Notamacropus eugenii: one gene and its partners. The protein of the gene in region 2 interacts with the protein of the main gene of each other region in a pairwise test. Links are inferred from orthologs where the notes say so. Each region holds a gene or a part of one and is shown on either strand. Other genes may lie near its edges.

Region 1 (9,820 bases), about 570 Mb from region 2:
GAACTAATACCTCTTTAAGAGGTGAGTGAGGGGAAATGCAAAGTTTGATCTGCTCAGTGTACAATCTCCTCATGCCATGCACCATGGTGGGCTGGGGAGGAGATGGGCACGGAGATTTTGATTTCCATTAACTGACCAAAGCTTGTCTGATAGAAGAAAAGGCAGAGATGATTCTTGCTGCCTCTTGAATGGTGGGTAACAGTAATGGCTGCTCATTCCAGTTTCTGGCCTCTCACTCCTAGACGCCTCTAAATCAAAATCCCAGAAATCCAGATTCCAACAAATGTCACCAAGTAGTGAGACCTGGGACAATATCTGCTTGAGTTCCTGGTCTCCATAGCAGCACTATTCAGGTAAGGAGCCCATGTAACTAGGATTCCACAGGCATATGAATTCTTTTTGTCTTTGAGATGATGTCTGATAGTAGTATTGCTGGATCAAAGAGTATGTACAGTTTAGTGTCTTTTTAGGCATATTTTCAAATATTTAGCTGCCATTTCTTATCTATCTCTCTGCTGTGAGTCTGTACTGGCACTTTACTTTTGCCACTTCCATGAGATGGATACCTTTAAAAACTTCCTCGAACTATCTATCCTCCAGTCAGGATGCTTGTTGGGGAATGCTGTCATGATGTGGACTCTCAGCCTTTTAGTAAATGGAATGCAAGAATATTTTCTAAAGTGAAATTTTCATCTCTAGGCATTATAGGACCATGAATTCCATGAACACACCTTTTTATATTTGTGAGAGAAGGTAAGGTTTCTGTGTGTAGTTAAAAATGGAGCACTTTATGTGAAAAGGACTGTGGCACTGTGTGAGAGAGGAGAAGGTGGGTATTCAGGTTTTGGAGATGATGGGTCATTATGGTGATATGAGAGGATGGACCACTTGTTTATGAACAGGCTACAGATTGTTTTATTTGAGAAAGTATAATTACAGCACAACTGGAGAACTGGGTTTAAATATCCTACCTCTGATATTGACACCTGGATCATTCCCCCTATGAAGAAGCAGACTTTTAATGAAATAACTGGTCAGCTAGGGAATGTAATTTTGTGCCTTGGACACCAGCTATTGCTATCTTTGGATCAAATGGCTATGACAGGCCAGTTGACCATGCATAAGCTTTTCCAAAGGTTGCAGGATCCCGCTGTTCAATAGAAGTTGATAGCTTGTAAACTCTTCAACTACTCCCCCAACCCACTCACCATTCCTAGCTATTTCCCACTTGTGGGCAGAGCACCTGGCTCTAGTGTATGACCAGGAATGTGCTGAACAATGACTAAAATAGGAAAGTCTCAGCTACTATGGTACTTGAACACTCATTAGGGAAACCTCCCATTTCATTCATAGGACTTAGACTATTTTTGAAGGCTGTTTCCAAACAGCAATACTATAAAGAAACCACTTTGATCAGTTCTTATCCTTCTACTGACCATGATAGCTTCCCAGAGCACAGGAAGGAAACAGGACTAGGGGAAGGAAGGTTGGGAATTCACAGAAATTTCCTCGGGAAACATTGGAAGAAAATAGTTTGGAAACGTAGGTTTTTGAACATCCTTCTGCTGGTCACATCAAAACAAGTCCGCTGGCAACTGAGTTTATTACAATCTCACTCTAGTGAGACCAATCAATCAACATGTAATTATTAAGCACCTACTGCATGTACCAGGTACTATATTATGTGCTAGACATACAAGTGCAAAGCAAGAAACTCACTATGTGCGAGCACACTTGCCTGCAAAACTAGCCCTGACTGCTCCCCAACTTCTTGCAAAGTTTCATCTCACAAAAGAACTCCTACCTGGATGGTTCTTAGAAACCCCCATACCTGTCTATGGGGATCGGGAGTGGGGCATTGTGTTTGTGATGGGACAGGAGTTCTATGTCTGTATGGCCAGGTATTATGTGAAGGAATCAGGAGTTCTGTGTGTCTGTGAGCGAGAATAGCTTGTGGTCAGTGTGTGAGGGGCTCATGAGTACTTTGTTTATGTGCATGAAATGTCTGGACCCTGTATCTGATGTGTGAGTGAGTAGGACGGGAACTGCAGGCATGTATGAAGGGAATATCATTGACTGTGTGTGTGAATAGGGACAGGCTTTGGATGAATGTTAGAGAGGCCATGGGTGGGGCACTGTTTTGGAGGGGTTGGTGCACTGGCATTTAAAAAGCCTTGTAAAGTACATAATACAAACATCCTTATTACCATTTTACAGATGAGGAAAATGAGAGTTAACAAAAGTAATTAAGTAACTCCCTCTGGTCTGACGTGTCAGAGGCAGAGTTGGGACCCGTATCTTTTTGACTCAAAGGCTATCATTTCTTCTACTACCATAGATTCAGAACAGGAAGGGCCCTCAGAAGTCATTCCCCTCCCTCCTAGTTTTATACTGGAGGAAACTAAAGCCCAGAGAATTTAAATAATTCACCCAAGGTCACACAGGTAGTAAGCATTTGAGGTCGGATTTTAATTCAATTCCTCTGATTCCGGAACGAGGACTTTTTCCTTTACTCCATACTAGCTCATGAAATTAGAAAGTGTGACTATCAATACCACTGGGAGACAATCCTATGTAGTCAAAGAATGGGAGGTAAAACTGAAAGGGTAGATTGAGGCTAGCCTATTGAGAGCCTTGAATGCTGAGATAAGCAGTTTGAGATATGTCTTTTGTAAGCAATAGGGAGCCCTTGAAGTTTCTCAAGTAGAGGATAAGAACTACTCTGCAACTTCCAAAACTGGTTGAGCATTGGCTAAATAGGATCTCTTTCAGCTTCAGCTCCTGATCTCAAGGTAACTAAAATGAGGATTGGCTGGGTGCACCCTGTACCGAGAGGGATTGATTGGAGGATCACTGTGAGAAATGGAACTGTGTCTAGCATTCCCCCTATGGCTTTTCTCTTCAAGACTCATGACACCTCTGCCTCCAACCGACCCTCCAGAGCTGAGAAGACTTTTCTTCCTACTTTACTGAGTAAAGGCTATCCACTGTGAGTTCTTTCTAATGGACTCAAAACTCCTTTTCTTTATCCCCAAACTCTAGTACTTTATTTCAGTCTCCCTGAACCAGGCTGAAAATGCAGGGACTGCTGTTTTCAGCTCTGATGGGTTCATCTGTCCTTAAACAACCACATGGCTCCTGGCTCCAAGTAGACTTACCGTATTAATGCCAAACTTAATGTAGACAACTGATGGATTTAATCCACTCCTGAGCTCAAGAGATCCACCAGTCTTGGCTTCTGTGGTAGCTGGGATTACAGGTTGTACCACCAGCCCTTGCACTAATGATTTTTTAATTGCTAAGTCTATTGGTTTTTTCTCAGTTGTCATCCCTCTTGACTTCCTGTTTCTGACATTGTTGGCTAGTTCCTCTTCCTGATAGGCTCTTCTCTCTCTTCTTTCACAACACTGCTCTTCCCTGGTTTTACTTCTCTGATTGCTCCCTTCCTAGTCTCTTTTACTTGATTGTAGAAATATAGGCTGAAGAGGATTTGAATTCAGGTCTTCTGACTCCAGTGCATTTATCCACTAGTCCATGCTGCCTTTCTGGTGGATGCTGGATCAGTATGTGCCTCCTGCCTCCTAACCATGGCTGTGCCAGAAGTCATAGACTTAGACCTCTTCCCTTTCTCTATTCTTTATCTTGGTGATCTCATCAGCACCCTTGGGATCAATTCTTAGATTTATTCAAATGATTTCCACTATATATCCAGCCTAAATCTTTTCTCAACTCTAGTCCCACATGACCTATTTCTTGCTGAGCATCTCCATCTGGATGTCTTTTCTTGATCTTAAAATTACCATGTTTAAAACTGAACCCATTTCCTACATTCCTCTAATATCTCCTCCCTCACACCACTCTTGGGGGTGCTTCCATTCTTACCATCCCAGGTTGACATCTCTGAAGTATGCTTGATTCTTCTCTTGGTTTTGTAGCTAATCAGTTGATATATATTGCTACTTCTACCTCTATAAGATGTGTCCTATCTGTCCTCTTCAAATTCATGGCCATTACACTCATTTGGGCCCTTGTCACTTTGATGAGTAGAACAGTCTCTTAAATGTCTCTCAGTCTTAACAGTCTCTCTCTTCTCCAACCCTTACTCTAGGTAGCTGCCAAAATTATTTCTGTAATATATAGATTTCACCAATGTGCTTTCCCTGCCCCAGAATTTTCAGTGACTTCTTGTTGTCTTTTATGGTAAAATACAAACTCAGCTTGGCATCTAAAACTTTTCCCAGGATGGCTTCAGCCTACCTTCCCAGACTTGTGTCGTGTTACTCCATTTCAGATGCTCTCTGCTTCAGCTAAATTGGCCCTTTTGCTGTTCTCCCAAGTCATACCCCTTCTTCCTTGCCTGGAAAACACTTCCTTCTTGAATTGACTTAGAATTCTCATCTTCTTTCAAGCCTCCGCTCCAGCAATACCTTCTAGAAGGCCTTTCTTGTTCCAGCTAGTTTTAGAATTCTTTTTTTTAAATGTCAGTTTCTTATCTGCTTATCTCTTGCATCCGTTACAAGAGTATGCATACTTGCTGAGGGCAGGGACTCTTTTTTTATCTGTTTTTGTGACCCTACCACCAGGTTTAGTGTCTTGCATGTGACAATTAATAAATGCCTTTTCAATGTTGAATCAAAGAGGTACAAAGTGTTAGGAGAGGCTACAAGGTATCTAAATGACAGCGAATGTTGCAATGGATACATCTAGCTAGCTGTTTGACTTTGGGTAAATCACTTAACCTCAGTTTCCTTAACTAAAATAGTAGCAATAACTCCAAGGGTTGTTGAGGATCAAATGGGATCATATTTTTAAAAAGGCTTAGCCCAGTAGTGGGCTAAAGTCTCTATATATTTGTCAATTCCCTTCCCTACTATAAAGCACTCTGATGGGAAAGGGGTACTTGTAGGCTTGTGAGTGGGATGGGACAGTTTTCATGTGAAAGACAACGCTTATACACAGTTGGTGCTTCTTCTCCGTGCTTTTGCTTTCTCGTCATCTTCAGTAAGTATTTAATAAATGTTCACCCACTGACTTGAGAGGATGGGTCAACGAGTTTTCGGGGGAAGGCAGAGCACCAATTGTGTGTGATAGGGCTGTGGTTACTGCGTGTCTGTGAGTTACTAAGCCGAGCCTTAGGCTTCTTTCTCACTGATGGGTCCGTCTGCTTCGCTTGCTGGCGTTCTCACGCGCTCTGGTGGGGGCGGGGTTGACAGCCGGGAGCTGGGGGTCCCTCGCGTACGGCGGCCGGACACCAGCGCGGGGCGGGCAGCCTGGCACCGGCAGAGATGCTCACTCAGGTGGGGGTTTCGGCCCCCGGGCGCAGGTCCAGATTTGGGCCGCCCAGGGGGGCGTGGCCTCCGATCTCAGCCTCCCGGCCCCGGGCCTTTGGGCGGTGTCATTCACGGCGGGGGCGTGGTCTCTGCGGGCAGTTGGGCTGGGCGACGTGGGGGGCCTCAAGGTAGTGGGTGTGGCCGCTGGGTGTGGCCGTTCCAAGAGGGGGCGTGGCCTCCTGCGCGGGAGGGGGCCGGCGAGCCTTCCAGGACGGGGGCGGGGTCCAGTCTCCGAGCGGGCAGGCGGGCGCGTGGGTGGGCGGGAGGGGGTGGGGGGCCCGGTGGGCTTGGCGAAGGCTGTGGGGGTAGGGGAGGTGGGGGGAGATCCGGAGGGGGCGGGGGCGGGTCCGACCAGCGCATGCGCGCTGCATTGTTTTGACTGAAAATGCCGTCGGTTTCGAAAGCGGCGGCGGCGGCGGCGGCGCTGAGCGGATCCCCCCCCCAGACGGAGAAACCGACTCATTACAGGTCAGTGTCCCGTGCCGCCCCCTACCGCCCGGGGTTGTCGCCGTCGTAGCCGCAGCCGCCTCCACCACGGCAGGCGGGAAGCGGCCTCGCGCGCCCCCGCCGCTGAGCGCTTCGGCCCGCGCGCCCGCGTTCCCCCACCCTCCTCTCCCCAGCTCCCGGTCCTCCTCGCGTCTCGGCCTCGCGGGCGCGGGGCTGCACGACTCTGAGCCCGAGGCGGCGGCGCGGCGCGGGGCGGGGCGGCTGGAGCGCTCCCGCGGCCTCCGAGCACCCGCCGCCGCCTCCGTCCTCCCCGCCCGCCCCTCCCCCCGCCCGCGGAGCCGCCTCCCAGCCCGCCCCTCCCCCAGGCCTCTCAGCCCGCTGGACGCCTGAGCCTCCGGGCCGAGCCGGGCCGCCCACTCCCCGCCGGATACGCTGAACTTCCTGCTTAGTGGCCCTTACGCGGCCTCCCGGCCTTTCCCCTGCCCACCTGGGCCCGTGCGGTCCAGCTCGTCTCCTTCCCGCGCCCTGGGGCTCCGAGGTCTTCCCTCCCACCCTGCCTGCCCGCTTTCCTTTTCGTGGGTGCCATCCTATTTCCCTGTCCCCTTCCTCCGGGAGCCCCAGATGCCAGGGCTAAAGTGCCAACCTTTGCCTTCACCCACACCCCTCACACACCCCCTCTTTCCTTCTTCATTTAAAAAGTGCTGAAACAACCTTGGTGTTACGCAAAATTTCGCTAAATCTGCCTTCGGGATAGTTTAGGAGCTGACTTGGTGGCTGAATTAAGTACATTCTGAAAGACTCGGGTGTGGATAGATGGGAGGGGGTGTGCTTCCCCCCAACCCTCTTCATTGAATGCAGACCTATGCTGGGGAGTCCCTTTTCCCCTCCATCCATTGCTGTGTAATTGAAGATAGATGGCTCATAGGTCTGTTTTACATAGAGATTCCCTTTCTAAGTTTGGCGGTGGTCATTAAAAAAAAACAACCCATTAACCAATTAACATTAAGTTGTTTGGCCCTAATAAAGTTACATTGTTACACACACAGTTTTTACACTGACAAAGAGAACTTACCGAGCAAACACTGCATCAAATGTATAGTACTTCCCTCCAGCTGAAACGACTTGTAATACCATTTATCTTTTTAGGTATCTAAAGGAATTTAGGACAGAACAGTGCCCCCTGTTTTTGCAGCACAAGTGTACACAACACAGACCATTTACCTGTTTTCATTGGCATTTCCTAAATCAGCGTCGCCGTAGACCCATCCGAAGGCGTGATGGAACTTTTAATTATAGTCCTGATGTATATTGTACAAAATATGATGAGACTACAGGAATTTGTCCGGATGGTGATGAGTAAGTGTATAACTTTCTTTTTGTACTTTTAGTAAGTTATGGTGATTATCAAAGTGATTTTAATAATAGTTTGCATCTTACCTGGACGAAGACAGTTCTTAGTCATCACCTTGGAAGGTGAAGAAAGAAGCTTTAAAGATTTTATTTTAACTAAAATGAATGACATACCAGAAAGTATTTACCTAGTGTACAAAAGATTCTGCATTTTTAAGGTTTTAAAAGTACACCGAGAATTCCCTTCTTTGTCACTCTGTTATTACTCATATTGCTTATGCAGTTGATAATAGGTTGGCGTATGTTGCAATTTAAAAGAATTGTTTCCTCTCCCTGTCAGTAGTAATGAAATTAAAACTATCTTTTCAAAAGTGTTATGAAGTGATCCTTTTGTGAGTAGTAAAGTACTAGTTGACATGAATTTTAAAAATAGAAAACAAAACTGAAAACTGCTCACCCACAAAAAGTTTACTGCAAAAAATAACTGAATTGGAGTGGAAGTGACCATTAATGCCATTGACTTTCAGAGAATGAATTGAAAACAAATGATCTTATGAAAAAAAATAACTTGTATTTAACCAAGTCATAGTTCTTCTGTATTGTTTTGACAATAAGTACTCTTGGTATGCTTTCTGAAACGTGCAACCTGTGAAGGGGAAATATACTATACTCCCTTGCTTCTGCAAGGAAGGGGACTGATAACCCAAAAAAAATCGTGAGCTACTGTTGTTAGTGTAGTAAGGATAAACCCTATGTGTTACTATTTTAAAAAAAATTTTAATCATTTCTTCTGTGACCCTTTATTGAAAATAATAATATCATTTGTAAAAGATGCATTTGATATTTCAGCTTTTCTGAATTTGTTCTTGAGATTTTATGCCTGAATATGTAGTTAACTTTTGTAAAAGAGGCATGCACAGCTGAGAAATCCTTTCTATTTCCTTTCAGTAATATCTGGAGGTCTGTCATAATCTAATTTTTCTAAAATTCTATTCTGGTCCTTCAGTTCCTTTTTGTTTATTTTTTGGTTAAATTTATCTACATCTGAGAGGGGTAAGGAGGTATTCTGCAATGATAGTTTTCCTGTCTATTTCTCCCTGTAACTCATTTAACTTTTCCCTTAACTATTTAATACTGTTCCATTTGGTGCTTATGTTTAGTACTGATATTCATTGTCTATGGAATGTTTCAGCAAAATGTAGTTTCCCTTTTATTTTTTTTAATTACGTCTTTTTATTTTTTAAACTGTTGCTTTGTCAGAGATCATAGTTAAAATATCCCTCCTTTTTTTTTAATGGTAGGTGAAGCATAATCTATTTTGCTTCAGCCCTTTATTTTAACTCTGAATTTTTCTGTTTCAAGTTTGTTTCTTGTAAATAACATGTTGTTGGATTTTGCTTTCTAATCCGTTTTCTTTTTCTCTTTCATGGGTAAATTCATCCCATTCAGTGTTATGATTTTTAATTTTGTTTTTCACTTCATTCTATTCTCTTATACTTTTCCTTCTCTTTGGTTCCTGTTCTCTTTTTATGAAGAAGAAGAGAGTGATGAGCGACAAGGAGTAAGCTCTACATCCGTGCTCTAGTTTTGGTGTAATATGCTTCTGTTTCTCTGCTCCTCTTTCTTTTACTTGTAGTCTAATAACAGGTTCTTGTCTTTTTTCCCCCATTCTTTTAAGCCCCTCTTTGAAATCCACTCTTCTATTTTGTTTTTCTTATGATTAAATTCTGTCCCTTTATCTTTTCTCTTATTTTCCCTTTTATTTTCTCTTTTCCTTCTCCCTTTTCCTTCCTATTTTTCCTCTTGAGTGAAATTTTTTTCTTTACTCAGTTTTCTTTCTTTGACCAATTCAGATGAGACTGAGGTTTGTGTCTCCTGCTCCCCTTCACCTTGTTTGTGTGAACTTCTGTTTGCACACCTCAATTATGTGAGGTAATTTCCCATATTATTCCTGTCTCTTCTATCCTCTCCACCAATGTATTCCTCTTCCTTAGCCTTCCCATGCTTTTAAGATCATCGGAATAGAACAGAACCATTCCTAGGCTCTCTAATCAGGTGCTCTCTGTGACCTCTGATGATGATAGGATTTTCAGGGGACATGAATATCTTTTCCTTATATTAGGATACAAAGTTTATTCTTATTTAGTCCCTTATTGGTAGTCACCTACCATTATGTTTATTTTTTGTTGTTGTTTCTCTTGATTCCTCTGTTTACACTTCAAAATTACTATGTAACCCTGATCTTTTAGGAATACTTAAAAGTCCTCTCTTTGAAGGTCTATTTTTTTTCCATTAGAATTATGCTCAGTTTTGCTGGATAAGTTATTCTTGGTTGTAAGCCTGTATATCTTTTCTCCTCTGGAATATCATATTTCAAGTTCTCTACTCTTTTATAGTGGTCACTGTGGAGTTTTCATGTGATCCTGACTGTGGCTCTTTTGTACTTGAATTCTTTCTTGCTGTTTGCAGTATTTTTTTCTTTGACTTGGAACCTCTGGATTTTAACTATAATTTTCCTGGGGGCTTTTATTTTCTGTTTTCTTTTAGAAGGTAATTAGTAGATGCTTTTACTTTCTATTGTGTCTTCTGGTTCTAAGTTATCTGAATAGCTTTATTTTAAGATTTTTTTGAAATATTATAGTGGGTTTCTTTTTTTAGTCAAGGTTTTCAGGTAGTCCAAAAATTCTTGACAT
Region 2 (10,323 bases):
AGAAGTTGGTTAGTGAAGGTGGTAGAGGGAAAGTCGAAATGGTGCTGGTGAACAAGGAGAATTACGACTCCCCCACCAGGAACAGTGAGTGGGTGGGAATATGAAAGAAAGCATAGACTGTGCTGGAAAGATGTAGAGACAAGCAATGTCATCTGGAGGGAGTCTAGGCATCAAGTCGTACAGCCCCTTCATCTTATATAAGGAAACTTTGGAAGAGAGAGGTGAAGCTCACGGTCAGTCACACAGGTAGCAGTGCCAATGTATGAACTGAAGTCATCTGACTTCAAATTCATCAGTCTTTCCAAGCTTCTCTTCTCCCTCATGTCCATCTTCCCCTTCCCCTGCTAAATTCCTAACCTAACCTCTGACAGCCCTAATCAAAGGCGGCCTCTTCCAAAATACTTTCTTTACTTCCCTGGTAGATAATAATCTTCCTCTTCAGGTCTTCTCTAGCAGCTTGTTTTTTTAAACCTTCTGATGCACTTAAGTGATTGTGTGTCATAGCCATCTGTGCATCTCATCCCCTTTCTGGCTGGGAACTCCACGGAGGCCAGGAATTTATCTAAATTTTACCTTCCTAACACAAACATAGTAATCTATACAGAGCTTGATAAATTCTTATTGTCTGAAAAAAAAAAGTTTCCTAAACAGAATACTTTGTAATAACATTCCAGACATCAAACTCTATGAACTCTATTGAGTGCTTATTGTTGCAGTTCTGTAGTAGAAATTTAATAAATGATACGTACACATACACGGTATCCTAAGTACAAATGTGGGGTCCCTGAACAAAAATTCTTCAAATAGCCCTCAACCCTTGCTGTTGTGAAACAAAGACCTACATCAGTGAGTAACTTCTTCCAGTGCAGCTGCTGCTTGGGTAGTTATTATAACAGTTATCTACATGCTAATGAATAGCCTTAACTTTGGTGTAGAGCTTTCCACTGGTATTTAGCTCCACCTAATGGGGAAAGAAAAACCCAGAACTTGGTGAAAATGAATTTTGATAATCCAGCTTGTGTGTCTCCATATATAGAGACAGATACATACAGTTTTTTTTAAAACCTAGGCACATTTAAAGAAGAACAATGCACAAACTGCTGACTTAAAACAATGTTTCAGTTAGGGGAGAGCAAAGAATATAAGAATATTTATAAATATTTATAAAATAAAAAGTAACTCATAAAAAGGAAATAGTGGAAAGGGTTGAAAAACACAATCAAGGAGAAAAACTATGGGAAATTTAAGTTCAAGATCCTGACTAATACATACCAAATTGATCAATGCTTCGCAAATAGCCTATAAGGGTCCTACCATCTCGAAGGAGCACCAAGTGTTTCTCTGAAAAAGAGGATTTTTAAAAATGATGACCAATAGTTCCACAGTAGTGGTACAATAGCACATAAGTTGGGGAAAGTTCTTCGGACACCCTAAGCAAGCTCTAAAATGGGCCACTTCCTCACTTTTTCAAGGTTAAGTTCAACTAAGAAATCCAGTCAGGATGTAAGCATTATAAACTATCAATAGTATCAAAGCAAAATAATTTAGTAGGAAAAATGCCATATTGGCAGTCAGGGGATTTAGGATCTAGTTTTGGCTCTCCTACAAACTTACAGTGTCCTTACGAAAATCAATTAACTTCTCTGTGCCTCAAGCTTTTTTATTTATAAAAGAAGGGTGCTGAACTGAGTAACTCAAAAGTCCTTTCAATTCTAAAATGCTTTTCTATTCCTCACTCAAAATGCTTATTGTAACAATTCAGAACCTCTTTCTATAAAAATATGTCCTTCAAGAGCTATGAGGAAGGAGAAAGGTTTCAGCTAATCATTGATCATTAAAATTTTTCTTAATGGTTTTTTCTTACATTACCTTCACTTCCCATTATATAATCTCTGGTCTTTGTAAATATGTGACAGTAAAAGGGGAAAAGAGGCAGGTAGGTGGCTCAATGGATAGAACACTGGGCCTGGAGTCAGGAAGACCTGAGTTCAAAGCCCTCCTCTGACACTTAACAGCTATGTGACCCTGGGTGAGTCTATTTGCCTTAAAACACTGGAGAAAGAAATGGCAAATCACTCCAGTATCTTTGCCAGAAAATCCTATGGACAGTACTGTATGTACTATGTATGGTCCATGAGGTCATGAAGATTTGGATACGAATGAACAACAACAAAAAAGGGTGAAATTGGTATCTTAACATCATGGCTAAAGGTTGAATTTCACAATGATGGGGTTTCAGTTTCCTCATCTGTAAAATGAGGTGGTTTCACTACATGATTTCTAAATGTGCTTTCTACACATTTACATTATCATTCCAAAATGTGTATTTTTTTTTTTAAAATGGCCCTTGGGCAACATAAAATAGTGAACTTTAAGGTTGGTTAATGACATACCATCTGAAATACATAAACTCTGACAGCAGCTACGCCTGTTTAGAATTAAGTCTAATTACAGACAGGTAATGAGAACAACTCTGATTAAAAAGTGAAAGTGAAAGTGAAAGTAAAGCATAAGGAGAAATGACACTATAATTAGCCTGACTTAGAAAAACACTGTATTAAGCAAAAACAAGGACAAAAAAGAGAACTCAATAGTTAATGATGAAACCATTTTAAAACAACAGAAAAGGAAGGCTTAATTGTGAAGCAGGCATTAGAAGTGATTCAGGGTCTATAAAGCCTTTAAAAAGCAACAATGTAGGCATGTGGAAAAAAAAAAACTATCCTCCATTGTACCTGAAACCATTTATCAGTTTCAGAAAATTATGACATTTAACATTTTATTTTTATATATGAATTATATCCATGCTCTCATTTGATCTCATTCTAAGGTTGTTCAGTCAAATGAGTTCAAGTTTTATTAACCCTATGTGATAGATAAGGGAGAGCTGACTTTCAGTTCTTTCAGGTGATTTGCCTAAGGTCACATACATAACCAAGTACTGCTTCCAAATCCAGCGTCTTTTCTAGCACACCAAGCTATCTTAACTTTTTTTAAAGGTTTCCTGCACTTCTTTTGAAAAACTCATTAAGGATTAGCTATTATTAAACCCTACCAGAATTTTTTCAAGCAACTAGCCTCAAATGCAATGGAAGATGGTTTCCTTATTCCTACCCTCTGTTGTATGTTTTTAATGCAGTTTTCAAATTTTCTTCCTATTATCAAACCTAATTTCACTGGACTCTCTTCTCTGGGCCTAGTGTACTAACTCCATTTGGGGGTAGCTTACAATCTAAAGTGCCTATTTGCTCAATCCAATGGTTTTTCCTCAAGTTTACTACTTGACCTCTGTCACCATGGACCACAAGGTGGTCCTGGACACTCTCTCCTCCGCTAGTTTTCTTCTGGTCTCTGTGCTCTTGGTCTTCTTTGCTGGCTTTCCCTTTGTCGACCAAATGTGGACATCCTTCAGAGTTCTGCCCTTGACCATGTTCCTTCTATCTCAAAGCAAATATGTCCAAAACAGAACGATGTACACACATACACAGAATGTGTGTGTAGGTGTATATATGTATACATATATACACACAAAAGGGGGGCAGTGGGCAGCACTAGAAGCTGCAGGCAATCAAGAAAAGCTTCGTGGATGCACTTGAACAGAGCTGTGGAGGCTAGGGATTTTGAGGGAGTGCATTCTAGGCACAGGGAACAAGCAAAGAGGCAGGAAATGGACTGTAGCATATGAGAAAAGGTCAGTAGGTCAGTCTGGCTAGAACACGCTGCACATGATGGAGGTAACATTTATTAAGTCTGGAAAGAAAAGATGGAGCCAAATTGTGAAGAACTGAAAAGGCAGTCAGAAGCAATACTGAGCCACTGAAACTTCTTGAGCAGTGGACTAACAGAGTAAGATCTGTATTTTAGGAATATCAGTCTGGCAGCTATGTGGAGGATGGAGAGATCAGAGATAAAAGACTAATTAGATGGCTATAGTCTAGATGAAAGGTGATGTGAGCCTGAATCAGGGTGGTAATTGTGAGAGATGAGACAGAAGTAGAATTGATAAAGACTTGAAAATGAGGGAAAGTTAGGAGTTGAGGATGATTCAGTGGTTGAAAATTTAGGTCATGGGAAGGATAGTGGTGTCCTTGATAGAAATGGGAAGACAAGATAATGAGTTCAATTTTGGACATATTGAATTTGAGATGCCTAAGGGATATCCAGTTGGAAATGTCTAAGAGACAGCTGGTGATGCAGGATCGGAGCTCAAAAGAAAAACTAGGGATGTATATATAGATCTGTGAGACATCTGCATAGAGAACTGAATCCACTGAAAAGCTGATGAGAATACTAAAAGTCTATCTAGAGGGTCCAGGATATATTCTATCAGAGGGCAGGATATGGATGGTGATACAGCAAAACAGACAAAGTTGACAGGCAGGTAGGAGAACAAATAGAGAGCAGTGTCATGAAAACCAAAAGGAGGGAATGGTATGTCAAAAAGGATCAGGACTAGATTTGGCAATTAAGAGATCACTGGTATCTTTGTAGAGGACAGAATCGAAGGAGTAATGAGGTAGGAAGCTAAACTGCAAAGGGGTTAAAAAGTGAGGAAAAAAGGAGGCAAATAGCACAGACGGTTTTTTCCAGGAATTTGTCAGTGAAAGAGAAAATATGTATGTATAAAATAATAGTGTGAAGGGATTCTACCTCTATTTCTCTCATTTTACACAGCCACTACTTTGTGCAGACAGACTATCTGGATAGCCTAATTGGCCCAATTTGTTCTTTTTCCAATTATCCTCCAATATAGCTGCCAAATTGATATGCCAGAAGCATAGCTCTGAACATATTACACTCCACCCCTCAACAAAACATTTGAATGCCTCCCTAATGGCCTTTAGCATAAAATACAGACTCCTCAACTTGACATTTAAGGACCCCCATGATCTGGTTTTTAAGACATTTCCCGATACACTATTTTTTTTTCACGGACTCTATTCCATTCAAACTGGTCCTAAAGCTGTTTCTCTTACACAACATACTCCCTCCTGCCACTGTGCCTTTATATAAGAGATCACATAGTTCAAGTACCACCTCCTATTCCAGACCTTTCCTCCTCCTTCTCCCTCTTGAAATTGCTTTGCTGTCTCTAGGGTCTATTTGGGCTAAGATAAAATCTGGCACGTATACTTTATACTTAGGTGTATACACATCTCCTTGGTAGAATATGAACTCCAAAAGGGGTGTGTGTGTTTTTTTTATTTTGGTCTTCGTGTCCTCGGACCCTTGAACAGTGGCACTTAAATGTCTGCTGAATTGGGGTGGAGGGGTCGGGCAGGAAGATAACAAGTCTCTGCCACAGCTTCGAGAACGGTGGGCCTCACTTTCCTTGAACACTATCGGACGCCCTGTTTCAGGCACTTACTGCGTCCCCTCACTGTTGCACCCAATTTCTTGAGCTCTGGGACCACTCGCCTCCCCGCTGCCGGGCACGCACCTCGCTATTTCTTTTTATCAGCGAGGCCAACCTTTCCCCCGGACAGATCGTAATCCCATCCTCCAGGGGTTTAGTAAAGGGTCTTCCAGAGTTGCCATGGCCTAAAGACTTCCCCACCTGGGCCAAGCTTCTGGGGACAAAAGCCTCGCAAATCGCAGGCACTTAATGAATTTGTGGGGAGTACTCAGGTCGAAAAGCGGTGTCGGAGTCTCTGAATGACCTCCATTGCCTTCTTCAGACAAAAGGGCAAAAAAGAAACCCCGCGTGACTCCGGAACGCCTAACTCCCCCCCAGGCGATCTGCGGTCAGAGGGAGGCCTCGGCCGCTCGCGGACCGCAGCCCGAGGGCCGGGGCTACGGCCTGGAGACGCGTCCCGGCCTCGGCCCATGCCCTACCCGAGCCCGAGGGAGGAGGCGGACCGACGAGGGAAGGGGGACTGGCCCGGCGGCCACTCACTGTCAATGTCCTCGATGAGGCTGGCGGTACCGGGCATATAGTTCATCTTGAACCGGGAGGGGGAGGCTGGGCTGGGGCACGGTGGGGAGAGGAGGAGCGGAGCGGACCCGCCGCGTCCTACTTCTCCCTCCGCTTCAGCCTCCTCAGCGGGGCCGGTACCCGCAGGTCCACAGCCGCCAGCAGTCACTGAGGAGCTACCGGAAGTTCCCCCTACCCCGCCCACTTCCGGCATCACGTGGCTCCCATGCTCGGGGGCGGGTCGTACGGCGCAGGCCCCCGAGAAAGGAGAAGGGGGAGAGATGTGAGCGGGACCGCATTAGATAGTGGGGAACTCGTTTTTCCTCTTTAGGCTGAGGAAGAACGTGCGCCTTGCCCTTCTCAGTTCTCTAACTTCAATTCCTAAGGTTGGCCCGAACTAGCATAGACCCCCCCCCCCCCCTTCAGCCTCATTGGTCAGCGTGTGGACCATGAACGCTACTCCCGCGGAGGAGGAGCCAGGGCGGCGATTGGTTGCTTTGGCTCCGCCCCCTTTTCCCAGGCTTGTTCTTTGCCTTCAGCGGGCGCCTGCGCAGTGGGCTTGGGGTGGGGGGAGCGGGAAGTGCGGCGGCTTAGCGGAGCCAATGTCTACCCTGAGGAGATCAGGATATGGCCCCAGCGACGGCCCGGGCTACAGCCGCTACTACGGGGCTGGGCCCGGACCCGGACCCAGCATTGGAGACGTGCCCCCGCCTGGGCCTCCAGCCTCATCGCGGCCCGAGCCGCCTCCCCCTCCGCCTCCTGGCCCCTGGAGGATGCGCGGAGGCGGCCCGGCGGAGGCTGTGTGGCCCGGGGAAGGCAGCGGAGCCTGCGGAGCCTGCGGAGGTGGCGGGGGCTACTACCCCGGGGGAGCCGCCTGGCCAGACCCGTGCCGGGCCGGAGGCCACCAGGTAATCCCCGATCCGGCCAGCCCCTGGGGTCACTGGAGTCGTCCGTGCGCGGGGGGAGGGGGTTGATGTGGAGGGGGTCGCCGGGGGTGGTTGGTCCCTAGGGAGATGAGGCCCCGGGGGTCGCGTTGCAGAGGCCCGGGACGCCGGGGTGAGACCCTGTTGGAGGGCTTCTAACGGATCCCAGCTTCGTTAGTCTCCTATTTCTGGAGCATGGGAGGAGGGACAAGGTTTGTGGCCTGGGTGATGGTGTCTCACCGAGCAGCGATTGGGGGTAAAGCAAGCTGAAAAAGAAATCGTAAATCGTTTATTGCAGCCTTCCGCTCTGCACAAATGCCCAGGTTAACTGAGCTCGCCCAGGGGAGGCCTCCAAAGCCATTGGGAAGGGGGTCTGGAATGGACCCTAGGTTGCTCCCCCCCCCAGGCACAGGCCCTTTCCACCCTCTCCCCTCACCGCTCCCCCGAAGACGGTGACGACTGTGATGCCTTCACTCGGCGGCCCCTCCTGCACGTTGGGACCTTAGGTGCTGCGAGCCGGGTCGTTCCGGAGGCTATCAGCTTTTTTTCATTTTTACTCCCCACCTGCTCCTAAGCTCAGAGCGTGTCGTGATCTGCAAGTGCGTGTCTCTTCTGAGGGTCATCACTGCAGCATCTCTAGTCTCTTCCATTCGTCTGCCTGTCAGTCTGCTTCACCACCTCCGCGTTGGACGTTTCATTTAAGCCCTTCTGTCTCTTAGGTAGATAAAGGTCCTACATATTTGTTCGCTGCGTCTAGGAATAGTCTAACGTGGGGGGGAGGGGGGAGGGCGGGGTGGAAAAAGCTTTGATTGTTTAGAAGATTGATCTCTTACATCCCTGATCTCATCCATCGAGGTTGTGTGTGTGTATTCATTGGGGTTAGAGGATGGTCAGAGAACTTGGTCTTGACTTACTCTTTCAAGGTAGGATTTAGGAATTGGAAAATTATGTTCTTGGGAACTAGTTCAGTTTGATGGCTAGTGCTTTGCATGTAGGAGGTGGCCTATTAAATTCTTGTTAAATGATTGCTTAGGTTGTGAAAAAGTGGGAGATAAGGGGACATATTCGAATAATAGTAGGCCTGGAGGAACCATCCTTATTACACAGCATTTTGACTGATTGAGTCACCCATGAATTCTTCAGACTTGATGTGACCAGCAGGTGGAACCTCTATCTAGGCTTTGGATTTTATGTCTGTACTCCTTAGAGCTGGGCTACAATCAGTGTCACTTAAGGGAGGGTGGAGAATTCTACCATCTTTCACCAAGTCAACTCTTTTGTTTCTTTAATAGATAACTTTTTATTTCAACATGGCTATAATTTCATTGATTTGGGACTCCCCGTATTGGTACAAGTGGCATCACATATCCATGCTTTCTTATCCAGTGCAGTTCTTTTCCATTTAATTCCTGCTAGAGGATCCATCCAACTTGCTGGAAACCTTCAAGGTTTCCATTACATTTTTTGTATAGTAGCTGAATGGTAGGTAAAGCTGTAATTCTTTCATCTAGCCACATGACCGGTCCACTTCCTTTTCTCAGTATACATTTCTTCAGTAATATCCCTTATGCCACTTCTTGAACACAGTTTTCATCATTGAAAATATGCATGAATACAACCCAAGAAACTGACCTGTCCAAAAGATTAACAATTGGCACAAAACTTCTATATAGGTATTTGTTGTTGATAATCAAACAGGTTTGAGGACTAGAAGAAGAGATATTTAATTGACCATTGCTCCCAATGGGAGTGAACATTCTATTATGGATTTCTTTCCACATAGATTGGTTTTGTTTTTAAACTTACTGACTGAAACTGGCAGCAATGTAAAAATATTTAAAATATAATATTGTTGACTGAACATTAGAGGTAAAAATCAATAGATAAATGAAAAAGCATTTATTTTTTCCCAAATTTATGAATTTATTTGTCTTCAGTTTTCAACAATCACTTCCATAAGTTCCAGATTTTCTCCTCTCCCTCTCCAAGACAGCATGCAATTTTGTATGGGTTCTACACATAGATTCCTATTAAACACATTTTCACACTAGTCATGTTGCATAGAAGAGTTAAAACGAATGGGAGAAACCATGGGAGAAACAAAACAGAACAAAACGTAACAAAGTCTGCTTCATTCGACATTCCTACTCCATTATTCTTTCTCTGGACATTTTGCATTTTGGATGGCATTTTGCATCATGAGTGCGTTGGAAATGTTTTAGGTCCTTGAATTGCTGTGAAGGGCTAAGTCTATCAAAAACAAAAACAGTCCTTGCACTCTGTGGCTGTTACTGTGTATAATATTATCCTGGTTCTGCTCATTTCACTCAGCATCAGTTCATATTAGTCTTTCCAGGTTTTTCTGAAGTCTGCCTGTTCATCATTTCTTAAAGCACAATAATATTCTATTACATTCATATACCACAACTTGTTCAGCCATTCCCCAATTGATGGGCATTTCCTCCATTTCCAGTTTTTGGGCACCACAAAAAGAACTGCTATAAATATTTTTGTAAATATGGGTCTTTTCCCCATTTTTATGTTCTCTTTGGGATACAGACCTAGTAGTGGTATTGCTGGATCAAACAAAGGGTATGCACATTTCACAGCTCTTTGGGCATAATTCCAAATTCCTCTCTAGAGTGGTTGGATCAGCTCACAGCTCCACCAACAATGAATTAGTGTTCCAACTCTCTCACATTTTCTCCAGAATTTGTCATTTTCCTGTTTTGTCATGTTAGCCAATCTGAGTGGTGTGATTTGGTACCTCAGAGTTGCTTTGATTTGTATCTCTCTAATCAATAGTGATTTAGAGTATTGAAAAAGCACTTAATAAATGCCAATTATATACCAGATAATCACCTATGAGATACTGAGGATATAAAGACAAAAATGAAACTGTTCTTGTCCTCACTGTGCTTATTGTGTTCTAGGAGAAACTAGGGGCACATACACGTGTGTGTGTGTGTAGAAAATATATATGAAGTAAATTCAGTGTAGCTGCAGAGGGATAGGAGAGGAGGTACTAGCAGTGGGAGAGCAGGAAAGAAGATGGAGGATGCAGGCTATGGTTTTTGAACTGGGCTTCTAAGAGGGAAAAAGAAGTAGAGAGTGCGTTCCAGGTGTGGGAGGTTGCTTGTTCCAAGGCAAAGAAGCAGAAAGAAATGTGTCACTTGTGAGGAACAATAAGGAAAAGCTAGTTTAGCTGGACTCAAGAAGGTTCAAAGGTGAGTAATATGTTGTAACTCTGGAAAGGCAGTCAGGGGAACCAACATTTTATTAGCGCCAGTTAAACTTCTTGAGCATTTGGGTAAGGGGGGGAGACCTGGGCTTTAGGAATATCATTCTAGCAACTACCTGGAAGATGGCAGGATATTAGTTAGGAAGCTCTTACAGTAGTGCAGGTGAGAGAGGTGACAAGGCTTGAACTAGTGTGATGGCCTCATAGAGAGAAAGGGGCAGATAGTGCCTAGACTATTGATTAAA
Region 3 (9,775 bases), on a different chromosome or scaffold from region 2:
TTCTTGACATTTGAAACTCATCACATCCTAGGCCTAGAACTGGAACATTTCAGTCATTTGGGCACTTATTTATTTTTTAATTAATCAATTACTTTTTATAAACATTGATTAGATCTCCCTCTGATCCCCCTACTCCATTCCTCATTGAACAATAAAAAGAAGAAAAGGAAAATGCATAGCAAATAGGCATAAGGCAGCAAAACAAATTTCCCATTGGCCATGTTCAAAAATGCAGTCCCATTCTGTGTTTTTCCAGCCCATCCCCTCTCTGGTGGGAGGTGGGCAACATCTTCAGTCCTCTGGACTTGTGATTCATCACTGCATTGAGCAAAGTACCAACAAAGCTTTTTGAAATTGTTCTTCTATATTATCCCACACCTTTCATTTTAGAGAAGAGGAACATGGGGTCCAGATAAGGTTGGGTAACCTGCTCAAGGTCACCTACCTTGTGCCAGATGTGGAATTTGAACACAGGTCATCTGACTTTCCACCTGCCCAGTGTCACACAGCTAGTGTTAAAAGCAGGTAACTTGACCCCAAGTCCTCCTGACTCTTCTTGACAAAAGTAAAAGATGAGAAACCAAGGTGAATCCTAAATGGGCCCAATGCTTCCCCTGTCTCCTCTGCTCCACCACCTGAATCTCATAGATGGGAGACCTGCCAGATCATTTACCCCAACTACAGACTCAAAGTTCTGCTCAACTGTTTTCTCCTGCAGGGCTTTTGTAAGACATCAAAGCAATTGTACCAGATACTGCGGAGCAAGGAGACCATCCATGTAGAACTTTCTCTTCTGGCTCCAGTTTTAGGGAGTAGGCCCTAGAGGCTGTCACTTGGAAACCAGCAAAGAGAAGCACAACCCCACCAAAGTTCATGTTGGCTTCTTCTCTTTTCCCCATTTACCCACTAGGCCTGCAATTGGGAATGCTCTTTCCCTAAGGCGTTAAATGAAAGACCTCCAGGGCTTTTTGGGATAGTTCTCATGTCTCTTAACTGAAAGTTAATGACTAAGCATGTGATGGACTTTGCTGTTGTGTTAAAGAGTATTTTTACTGTCTGTTTCTTAAGAGAAAAAGCATGTTATACTGGAAAGAGTGCGGAATTTGAAGTCCAGTGTCACCTCAGACAACTCACCAGTTGTGTGACCTTTGGCAAGTTCTTCTGAACCTTAGTTTCTTCACCTGTAAAATAGAAGTCATAATAGCACTTCTGGCACAGGATCAAATGAGATGAGCAGACCCTGAAGGGCTATTGGAATGAGAACTGTTGTCATCCATTATTTCTTGATTTGTAGTAGCGGTAAATGAAAATGCAGAAATTGTTTGTGGGCTCCTCCTTTGCTGAAATCATTATGAAGTCCGTGAATTTTGTGGTTGATTGTCGTGGTTTGTCCAGGGTTACAATGACATACTTTGTCAGCAAAGACAAATATTTTAACTGTATCGTTGCTGATACTTATTCCCTTGACTTTTTTCATGCCTGATGACTATTCCTAAGATTTCTAAAATGATGTTAAAAAGGAGTGGGGACAATAGATTACCCTGCTTCACCCCTGCTGTTAACGGAGATACTTCTTGTGGTTTTCTCTAGTATGTAACATCCTTCCTTGAAGTTGTTCACAGTGGCAGACTGGTATGGGAGCTCTCTCTGGAATGGAGCCTGCCCCAATGTCTTTAAGACTGACCACATTCTGTAGCTGCCCATTTGTAAACAGGTCAGTGGCACTGCTTTGTAGGGAGAAATATCCTGCTTCCTTCCTAGGTAGTTGCCTTCCTCTTCTTTGTCATTTTTCCCAGTGTGGGACATGTGGAGGTCAGGGCAAAGAAGGGGAGCCTGGGTCTTCCTTTGGAGACTTTTCCAGAACCCACCTGATTCTTCCCTCCCCTACCCCAAGCATTAAGAAGTTGATAGAAAGGTCCAGACAGAAAGATATGCAACCTTAGAATCAGGAACTATGGACAGGGAATTGAGACAAGCCCCAACCAAGATTCATGTCTAGATTTTTCAGAGGGAGAGGTAATTGATGGCCAGCCTGTGAGTCCCAATGAGTGCCTGAGGAAATTCCACCTCCTCCTCCCCCCCTCCCCCCACCTGTACCGAACTTAGGTGAGGACTTGGATGAGAGTTGTGCCAGATGGGCTGGCTGTGACTTACATCACTGGAGGGAATAACTACATTGTTGAGAACACAACTCCTTTGGAGTTGTGGAGAAAGACCTTCATGTTAGAGATTCAATTTGAGGGTCCAGATATCCTGGAGCATTGCTGCTTCAGAGGTTGGTAGAGGGGCAGGAACAGAGAAAGGCCCCTTGCAAAGTGGCACCATCTTGGTAGCCTGCCCCCGATAGAGTACATGACTGGCTTTCATGGGAGGAACTTGCTGTCAGATGCAGTTGGGTTGGGAGAGGGATGTCATGGTGGCAAAACTCTGGAGGATCTGTCTTGTACAAAGGAAATAGGCCTCTCAGACATCAGCACCCTAGGACATGCTCATATTGCCCACCTTTGTTACAGCTCTGGTAATTAACACTAACGTCTCAGGTCTTAGTTCAAAATGACTTCCTAATGTTCTCAATGTCACAAGGAAAAATGTAGCAGGTATACCTGCTTCATTTTTTTTGCCTTCATATCCACAGACCCTGGCACAGGAGTAGGAGGAGACACTTCATAAAAGCCACGAGGGTTGGCTTGAATTATGGCCTCTAATGGCAGTGACTCAGTTAGCTTAGTTGCTAACTAGGTCTGAATTTAAGCTTGCTTTCTCCGTGGAACATTTATTTTTACTATGCCAGTGACCACTAGGACACCCCAGAGTTTATGTAGCCATTTTCATAGATCTTGTGCTTGCCAGGGACACTAGTAAGCAAGCAAACATTTATTAAGTGCCTACTGTGTGCCTTATAAGTAGAAAGTGAGACAAACCTGTGGGCCCTCTTCATGGTAGGTTAGTATTTAGGTCTGTCCAGAACTGTAACCAGGACAGGGCAACTGGGACTTTTGCCAAGGGTAGCAAATTTAGCAGGTGCTGACAGCACTTCTAGTCATTTGGTAGCCCAGGAATGACATAGTTTAGTGCCTAGTTAGCAAGAATAACGTGCTAAAATCCTACCTAAGATTGGGGTGAACTTCTCCATGAAAGGATATTTTTTCATTGATCAAAATACTGTATTTTGAAGGCTCAGTTGGCAGGGACTTCAGCAGCCAACTAGTCAGGCCGTTCCTAAAAGGGATCCCTGTTTTAACATGTCTCACCAGATTTATTTTCGTTCTTTCACAATAAATTAAATGTGAAATAAGGAGGAAAAAATGTTTGGGGCCTTAAAATCTTCAGTTTATATCTCCTGGTTCAGTATGAACAGTACAGTACAGTACAAATCATCCTTCTAAAACCAGAGCTAGCGTGCTGTTGCCCCCTGTCTTCCCCCCCCCCATTGCAGCAGCATCAACCCCAGTCCAGGGCAAAGAGCGTCCAAGTGTCATTGGTGGGGTGGCTGTCAGACACCAGGTCCAAGGAGATGTCTGCTGCTGCTTCTTCCTCTGACTTCTCTTCAGGATGGGGCCTATAGGAGGTGAAGGAAGAGAGCAGTGAGAGTTGTGCTCAGTAACAATAGCTGCCCTTTGCCTAATGAGATCAAGGCTGGAGTCCTCAGCCTTTTCTCAGGTTTCTGGCCACAGGAAGCTAGCCAACCTGGATGACTCAGTATCCCCAAAGCAGCCTTCTGAAATGTTCTTCTACCGTTCTTCCAGTCTAGGGTGTAGAATGAGGGCATGTTTGTGGTTTGTGTTAACTGTCTGTGGGACACTGTGACCAACTGGTTCAGTTCCATGCCTCAGTTTCCTTTTCTGTAAGAAAAGGACTAAATCAAGGGTTTTTCACGTTTTTGCATTATGGGTGTAGTAAACCTTATGGACCCCCTTCTCAGAAGAATGTTTTTGACATAATTGAGGGAAATACCAAGTTTCAATTAGCGGACAGTGAAAATGAAAATGTCATTTCCCACCATCTCAGTTCCTGGACCCTTGATTAAGAACCCTTGAACTAAATCATCCTTTGGGGAGTGAAAAGAACACTGGCTTCGGGGTCACACAACCTGCCTCTATTGCTTGCTTCTTTTGTGTGCCTCAACTTCCTCATCCTGTCAAATTGTTGGAAGAAAGTGAGTAGGTGTGGTTCTTAGCCTGGAATCAGGATGTCTGAGTTTGAATTCTGCCCCATATACTTACCAGCTGTGTGACCCTGGGCAAGTCACTTCACTTATGTTTGCCTCAGTTTCCCCATCTGTAAACTGGAGATAATGACAGCACCCATGTCACACAGTCATTTTGAAGATTAAACGAGCTCACATTTGTAAGTGCTTTGCACCTTCAAATGTTGTAAAAATGCTGGCAGTTGTTATTATCTCAAAGAACTGTGCATTTCAAGGTAGAAAGGACCTACCTTCAGGGTCTTTCACTCCAGCCCCTTCATCCTGCAGATGAGGAAACTGAGGCCCAGAGAGATTAAGAGAGTTGTAGATTACTCAGTTAATTACTCAGCACCTGGGATGTGAACTGAGGTCCTGTGTCTAAATGAAATGGTGTTTCTCTCTCTCTCTCTCGCTCTCTCTCTGTCTCTCTCTCTCTCTCGCGCTCTCTCTCTCTCTCTCTCCCTCTCTCCCTCTCTCCCTCTCTCCCTCGCTCTCTCTCGCTCTCTCTCGCTCTCTCTCGCTCTCGCTCTGAAAAATGAAGGGTTCCCAGCAGATGCCAGATGCCAAGTATGGATCCCTGTCACAGATCAACGTGGTGAACCAAAAGCCAGTGTCTCTCACCTAGGGACTTCTTGCCTTGTCTGGGAGAGACAGAGACAGCGAGAGAAAAGAGTAGTAGAGGCACCTGCAGGCGTTTCACCTGTCCCAGTCTCCGTTCCTTTATCTGTCAAATGAGGCCAATAATAGCCCCCCTTTTCCCACGGAGGGTTTCCCACCCCGAGGGTGTAAATGTCAGCTTGTTATTCATCCTGGGGTCGCGGCGTCGGGGAGGGGAGGCGAGGCGGGGCTTTCTGCCCAGCCTGGACCCGGGGTGAACGGGGGGATGGTGGGTCACCCCGAGCCGCACCCCATCGCCGGCCTTCCCAGCGCACGTGGGCCGCCCCCGCGGCACGTGGGGCTCGGTCGTAGCCTCTGCGGGCGCAGCCTCCGCGGGGCCCTTCAGGTGAAAGTGCCCCGCAATTGGGGGCAGCCGCCTCCCCCTGCGGCCCACGAGGGGCGGGCCGAGCGGCTCTCCGGGGGATCCCCAGGCGGGGAGGGCAGCTCCTGAGTGCCCCTGGCTCCAGGCCCTGGAGGGCGAGGGGAAGGCCCCCGGCTGGCACCCCGCTCCTCGCCCCCCCCTGCCGGTGCCCCCTGGCGCCGCGGCGGCCCCGCGGCCCCGCCCGCGCCCGGCCCCGCCCCCGGCCGGCGCGCCGCGGCTCCTCCCTCCTCCCAGTTCTCAAGTCTCCCAGTCCGGTGGGGCCCCTGCTCGAGGTGCGCGCTTGGGTGCCTCTCCCCCGAGGCCCCCGCCCCCGCCCCCCCACCCCCCGCCGCCTCCCCGCCTCCCCCCGCCGCCCCCCGCCGCCATGCAGAAGGGCTGGAAGAAGCCCCCGGCCCCCAAGCCGCAGCCCGAGGTGAGGATGGACGACTACCTGAGCAGCCTGGGGCTCCACCGCAAGCTCATGCCCAAGGATGCCTCCTGCCTGTTCCGGGCCATCTCGGAGCAGGTACGCCGAGGCCTGGGCCCCCGTGGGGAGGTACAGTGAGCGCCCATCGTGAGGTGGGGGGTGGCACGGTGAGCCCCAATCGTGGGGTGGGGGGCGCAGTGGGCCCCCGTCGTGGGGTGGGGGGGGGGTCTAGTGAGCTTCCCTGCGGCTGCCCACCCCGGGGCCCCATGGTGGGGGGGGTGGCACGGTGAGCCCCCCGAGGCAGCCTGCCCCGACCCCCCCACTCCTCCCCGCGTCCGCATGGTTAGCCATGGGGTGCTGACCACGGGGCGTCAGCCACGGGGAGCCCGACTTCGAAGGTGATCTCCTCTCCTTCAGCTGTTTTGTAGCCAGGTCCACCATTTGGAAGTCAGGAGGGCTTGCGTGGCCTTCATGAGAGAAAACCAACATAGCTTTGAATCTGTAAGTGGGACAGACTGGAGGGGAGGTGTGGGGGACACTGCCCTGGGGTGGGGTCTGCCGAAAGTCCTGCTGCTTTCCTTCAAGCCGCCCCTCCACGTGGCTCGACTTTCCAAGGCTTTATGCGGATCTCGGGGCTAGCCCTAGTTCTCCGCGGTTAAAAATCATGGTTCCCCAGCCAAATCCACCCTCTGCCTTCAGCTCAAATTAGGAAGCCAAAGCAAAGATCCCCACAGTTAGCCATCTAGACTGATGGTGAGGTTGTGGCTTGAGGTGAGAAAGGCCGTGAAAGACAGGAATGGGAAGTACCTTGTTAGCTGGCCGGTGGTGGGGCAGCGCTCAGGACCCACTTTCTTGAGCCAACTGAGGTTTTCATGGCTCTTAGGAACATCTGTATGAAGATAACTCAATGCTTACTTGTAAGGATGCACAATTAGTTTCAAACATCTGGCCTTGTACATAATAAACCAGTGGAACTGGCCCCACTCCCCTAACGTATTGACTAGGAAAAAACCCCAAGCAAGCCAAGTCCTAAGTCAGCCCACTTCTGATCTATATCCTGATAGAAGGGCGTTTGGTGATGGCTCTATTTCAATGGCTTTACCCGTCTATTTCACACCCCACATGGCTTCTATAGATTAGCAGAAAAATCCTTTGCAAAGGGGCCCTGCCAATGTTTGTTGGCTGTTGAAAATTCTGAGCACATTCAGCAGGGCTTGTATCCATCATGCCTCCTTCAGGCAGAGGTAAAAGGTGAAGCAGACAGCCCTTCTGTGCATGGGATACAATACAACACTGTGCAGATTTTACAGTTGTGAGGAACCTCCAAAAAGAGATGCAAGGAGGGGCCAAATCTTAGCCCAAGCCCTTACTTATCTTTTAATGACACAGCCAAAAAGATCTTCAACAGCCCCAAAACAGAGACCTGCCTAGGTTTGGTCATTAAGGATCCATACCTCTTCCCTGGTTCCTTAAAACAGGGAGGTGGCCAGACTCTTGAAACTTTCTCAGTCAGATTGGTTTGAATGTAAAGCCAACTGGGACATTTTACAGAGTTCCATCTTGCCCAAACCAAACAACACTGCTGAAGCTAATGAAAACCCAAACCATTAGTGTAACTACCCAGACCTTCTGGTTAGAAAGGGCAGTTCATACATTTTCAAGGTTCAGCCGGGGTCCACCACTCATTAGCTGTGTTGTGTGACTTTGGGCAAGTCACTCTGTAGGCCTCAGTTTCTTCACCTGTAAAACAAGAAGTGGGGGAATGAGAGGAGCTCCCAGGTCTCTTCTAGCTCTCTCAAACCTGGTCCTATGGCACAAGTCAGACTAAAAGTCTTCCTTGTACGGTCTGATTTTGTTGGAAACTTCACACCCTAAAGTTGTCCCTTAACCTCATTAATGAGGCCAAGCATCCTGTAGGTTTTCCAGCTCTAGTGGAGGTTCCTTGAAATGTGCTGATTGGCCATCATTTGAGAAATTGGCATTTTGGAGGCTACCAATAAAAAAGGCAGGCCTTTGGAGAATTGTGAAGTGGCTTCCATCTAAGCAACTGAGGCAGCTAGCCCTTAAGCTTCTTAGGACTTGTTGCTGCTGACTTCCCTCCCCCTCTCCCCCACCTCCTTAACTTTTTTCTTAGTACTCCAGGAGGTGCTGTGCCAAGTGTAATCACCTTATTAGCTTCAGGATTGTGGGGCTGAGCAAAGTGAATACATGCTAGGAGTTTAAATGCAGAAAGCATTAACTCTTGCTTAGGGTTTGCATGGTGTGATACTCAGTCCTAGTAATGAGTGCCATGGAGCTGCTTACAGTCAAGTTTGTTTTATTTTCCAAGTACGTGGAAGGATCTTTTGAAAAGTACCTGGAGAGGTTGGGAGATCCCAAGGTAAGCCCAAATGTAGTTCTCTCAGCTTTGCTATTCAGGGGCCCTTGAAGGGTTGGAGAGTGGGCAAGGAGGGTAAGGCAGCATTTGGGAGGATGTTGCCAGAGCCCACGCATTGCAGCTCTGGCCCTTTAAGGAAATATGTAGAGGCTTTTAAAAAAAAAAAAACAAACAGCTGTTGGAATCAAATGTATTTCTTGGAAAAATTTTAAGAAGTTGACAGCTGACCTAATTCAATTGTCCAGTTTTGAGAATTTATTAATATAAAAGTCACTAAATCCCTTAGTGTATGGAATTCAGAATAGCTTTTTTAAAAAAACATCTATTTTGAATATATCCAACTTGAACTGATAATTGAAAAGAGGGGTTTCGGCCCTTTGTCATAACTTCCTCATAACTGGAAAATGTTAATGGCCAGAGGACTTACCCCTTCCCCTTTCTGGGTCTCTGGAAAACGGAAGATTGGATTACTAAATGGGTAACTTCTAAGGCTTCTCTCTCCTCTAAAATCTTGGATCCTAGGACCCAGCTCCAGACTTGGAGCCCTAAACTGGGCTTTATAGTACATTCTCAATGAGCAAAATGGGGATGGAGGGCTACATCAAGGAACTCACAGTAGTTGACTGGGGGGCTTTTAGCTCCAAAGTGCTCAGAAAGAAAACCAAACAAAGGCTGTATATACTGTTTCTCCCTAGGAAAGTGCTGGCCAGCTGGAGTTAAGAGCCCTTTCTCTCATTTACAAGTAAGTTTCTGCATCCTCTCCTTTCTGATTTCTAGAACATGGGACCCAGGGCACTCCAGTTACCTTGAAGTGACCTCTGGAGTCTCCTCATGGATTATAGTTGTCATTTAAAGGTGGTGGGATAGACTTGGCTTCTCATGTTAACCCTTTAGGACAGGGAAATGCATCTTTTTCGGGGAGCCAGAAGGTTCTAGGGCTATCTTAGTGCCTGACCCTCTAACACTTGTATCCTTGTGATGGTTTTTTTTTTAACCACAGAATGTACATTTTCCAGTCTATTGGGTCATGGGTCTTTTTTGGCCTGGGACAAGAGGGGTGTAGGATGTCTCTTGTTGAAGGGCATGCCAGTCTCACGATTTATAGTTCTTATGCATTGGTCAAGACAGGTCCAGTTACAGCCCCCTCCTCTGGCCTGGTGCCCAGACTCATGCTTTGGGCTCCTCCCTTCTTCTCCCAAGCTCCTGGCATCGCCTGGGAGGGGGGAGTGAGATCCTGGCTTGGCTGCTTCACCCATATAAGCCAGCACATATTTGGACAGCATTCACTGGGGACCTTGCACTGTGCTAGGCCTCTACCCTTCTAGACCTCACCCACCTTGTTTGGGGTGGGGGTGGGGAGAGAGAGAGAGACCCATCCTCCTTAGCTGTGTGACCTTGGGTAAGTCACTCTGCCTCTGTGGGCCTCAGTTTCTTTATTAAAATAGGGAGGAGGGCTGGAAAATATCTATGGTCTCTTTTAGCTCTAAATCCTGTGATAAAAGAATCTGGCTTATTTAGAAGATAATATTTTTCTCCAAAAGGCTCCAAGACTCCTTTGTGGAGCACACTCCCCCCCACCCCGTTCCCAGGACTTTTTTTAATTACTGCTTTTTCCCTTTGGAGGTGGTCTTTGCCAATCATCACATTCATTTTAGCCAGACTGTAACTATATGAAGGTGTGTTGGGCCAGAGATAGTCACACAGTGTGATTGACCTGAGTTCTTACACCTGCCTTGGGTCTGGGATGGCTGGTGTTCTTTAGATGAA

Evidence for each region.
Region 1: the proteins of BAG4 (region 2) and UNKL interact in binary tests that used the Homo sapiens proteins (3 or more experiments, as listed by UniProt). The link is inferred for Notamacropus eugenii from reciprocal best matches to the Homo sapiens genes BAG4 and UNKL.
Region 3: the proteins of BAG4 (region 2) and UDP-N-acetylglucosamine transferase subunit ALG13-like interact in binary tests that used the Homo sapiens proteins (3 or more experiments, as listed by UniProt). The link is inferred for Notamacropus eugenii from reciprocal best matches to the Homo sapiens genes BAG4 and ALG13.

What each region holds. Positions count from the first base shown.
Region 1 is NC_092872.1:49,431,357-49,441,176, forward strand, and holds the start of UNKL (putative E3 ubiquitin-protein ligase UNKL), read left to right. Parts: upstream 1-5,686; 5' UTR 5,687-5,715; coding exon 5,716-5,798; intron 5,799-6,923; coding exon 6,924-7,133; intron 7,134-9,820. UniProt on the Homo sapiens protein: May participate in a protein complex showing an E3 ligase activity regulated by RAC1. Ubiquitination is directed towards itself and possibly other substrates, such as SMARCD2/BAF60b. Intrinsic E3 ligase activity has not been proven.
Region 2 is NC_092872.1:622,807,517-622,817,839, reverse strand, and holds the start of BAG4 (BAG family molecular chaperone regulator 4), read left to right. Parts: upstream 1-6,458; 5' UTR 6,459-6,516; coding exon 6,517-6,822; intron 6,823-10,323. Other genes in the region: U6 snRNA-associated Sm-like protein LSm1, read right to left, coding at 1,273-1,341, 5,897-6,128. UniProt on the Homo sapiens protein: Inhibits the chaperone activity of HSP70/HSC70 by promoting substrate release. Prevents constitutive TNFRSF1A signaling. Negative regulator of PRKN translocation to damaged mitochondria.
Region 3 is NC_092879.1:97,562,452-97,572,226, reverse strand, and holds the start of UDP-N-acetylglucosamine transferase subunit ALG13-like, read left to right. Parts: upstream 1-5,566; 5' UTR 5,567-5,589; coding exon 5,590-5,730; intron 5,731-6,048; coding exon 6,049-6,132; intron 6,133-7,960; coding exon 7,961-8,011; intron 8,012-8,703; coding exon 8,704-8,750; intron 8,751-9,775. UniProt on the Homo sapiens protein: Catalytic subunit of the UDP-N-acetylglucosamine transferase complex that operates in the biosynthetic pathway of dolichol-linked oligosaccharides, the glycan precursors employed in protein asparagine (N)-glycosylation.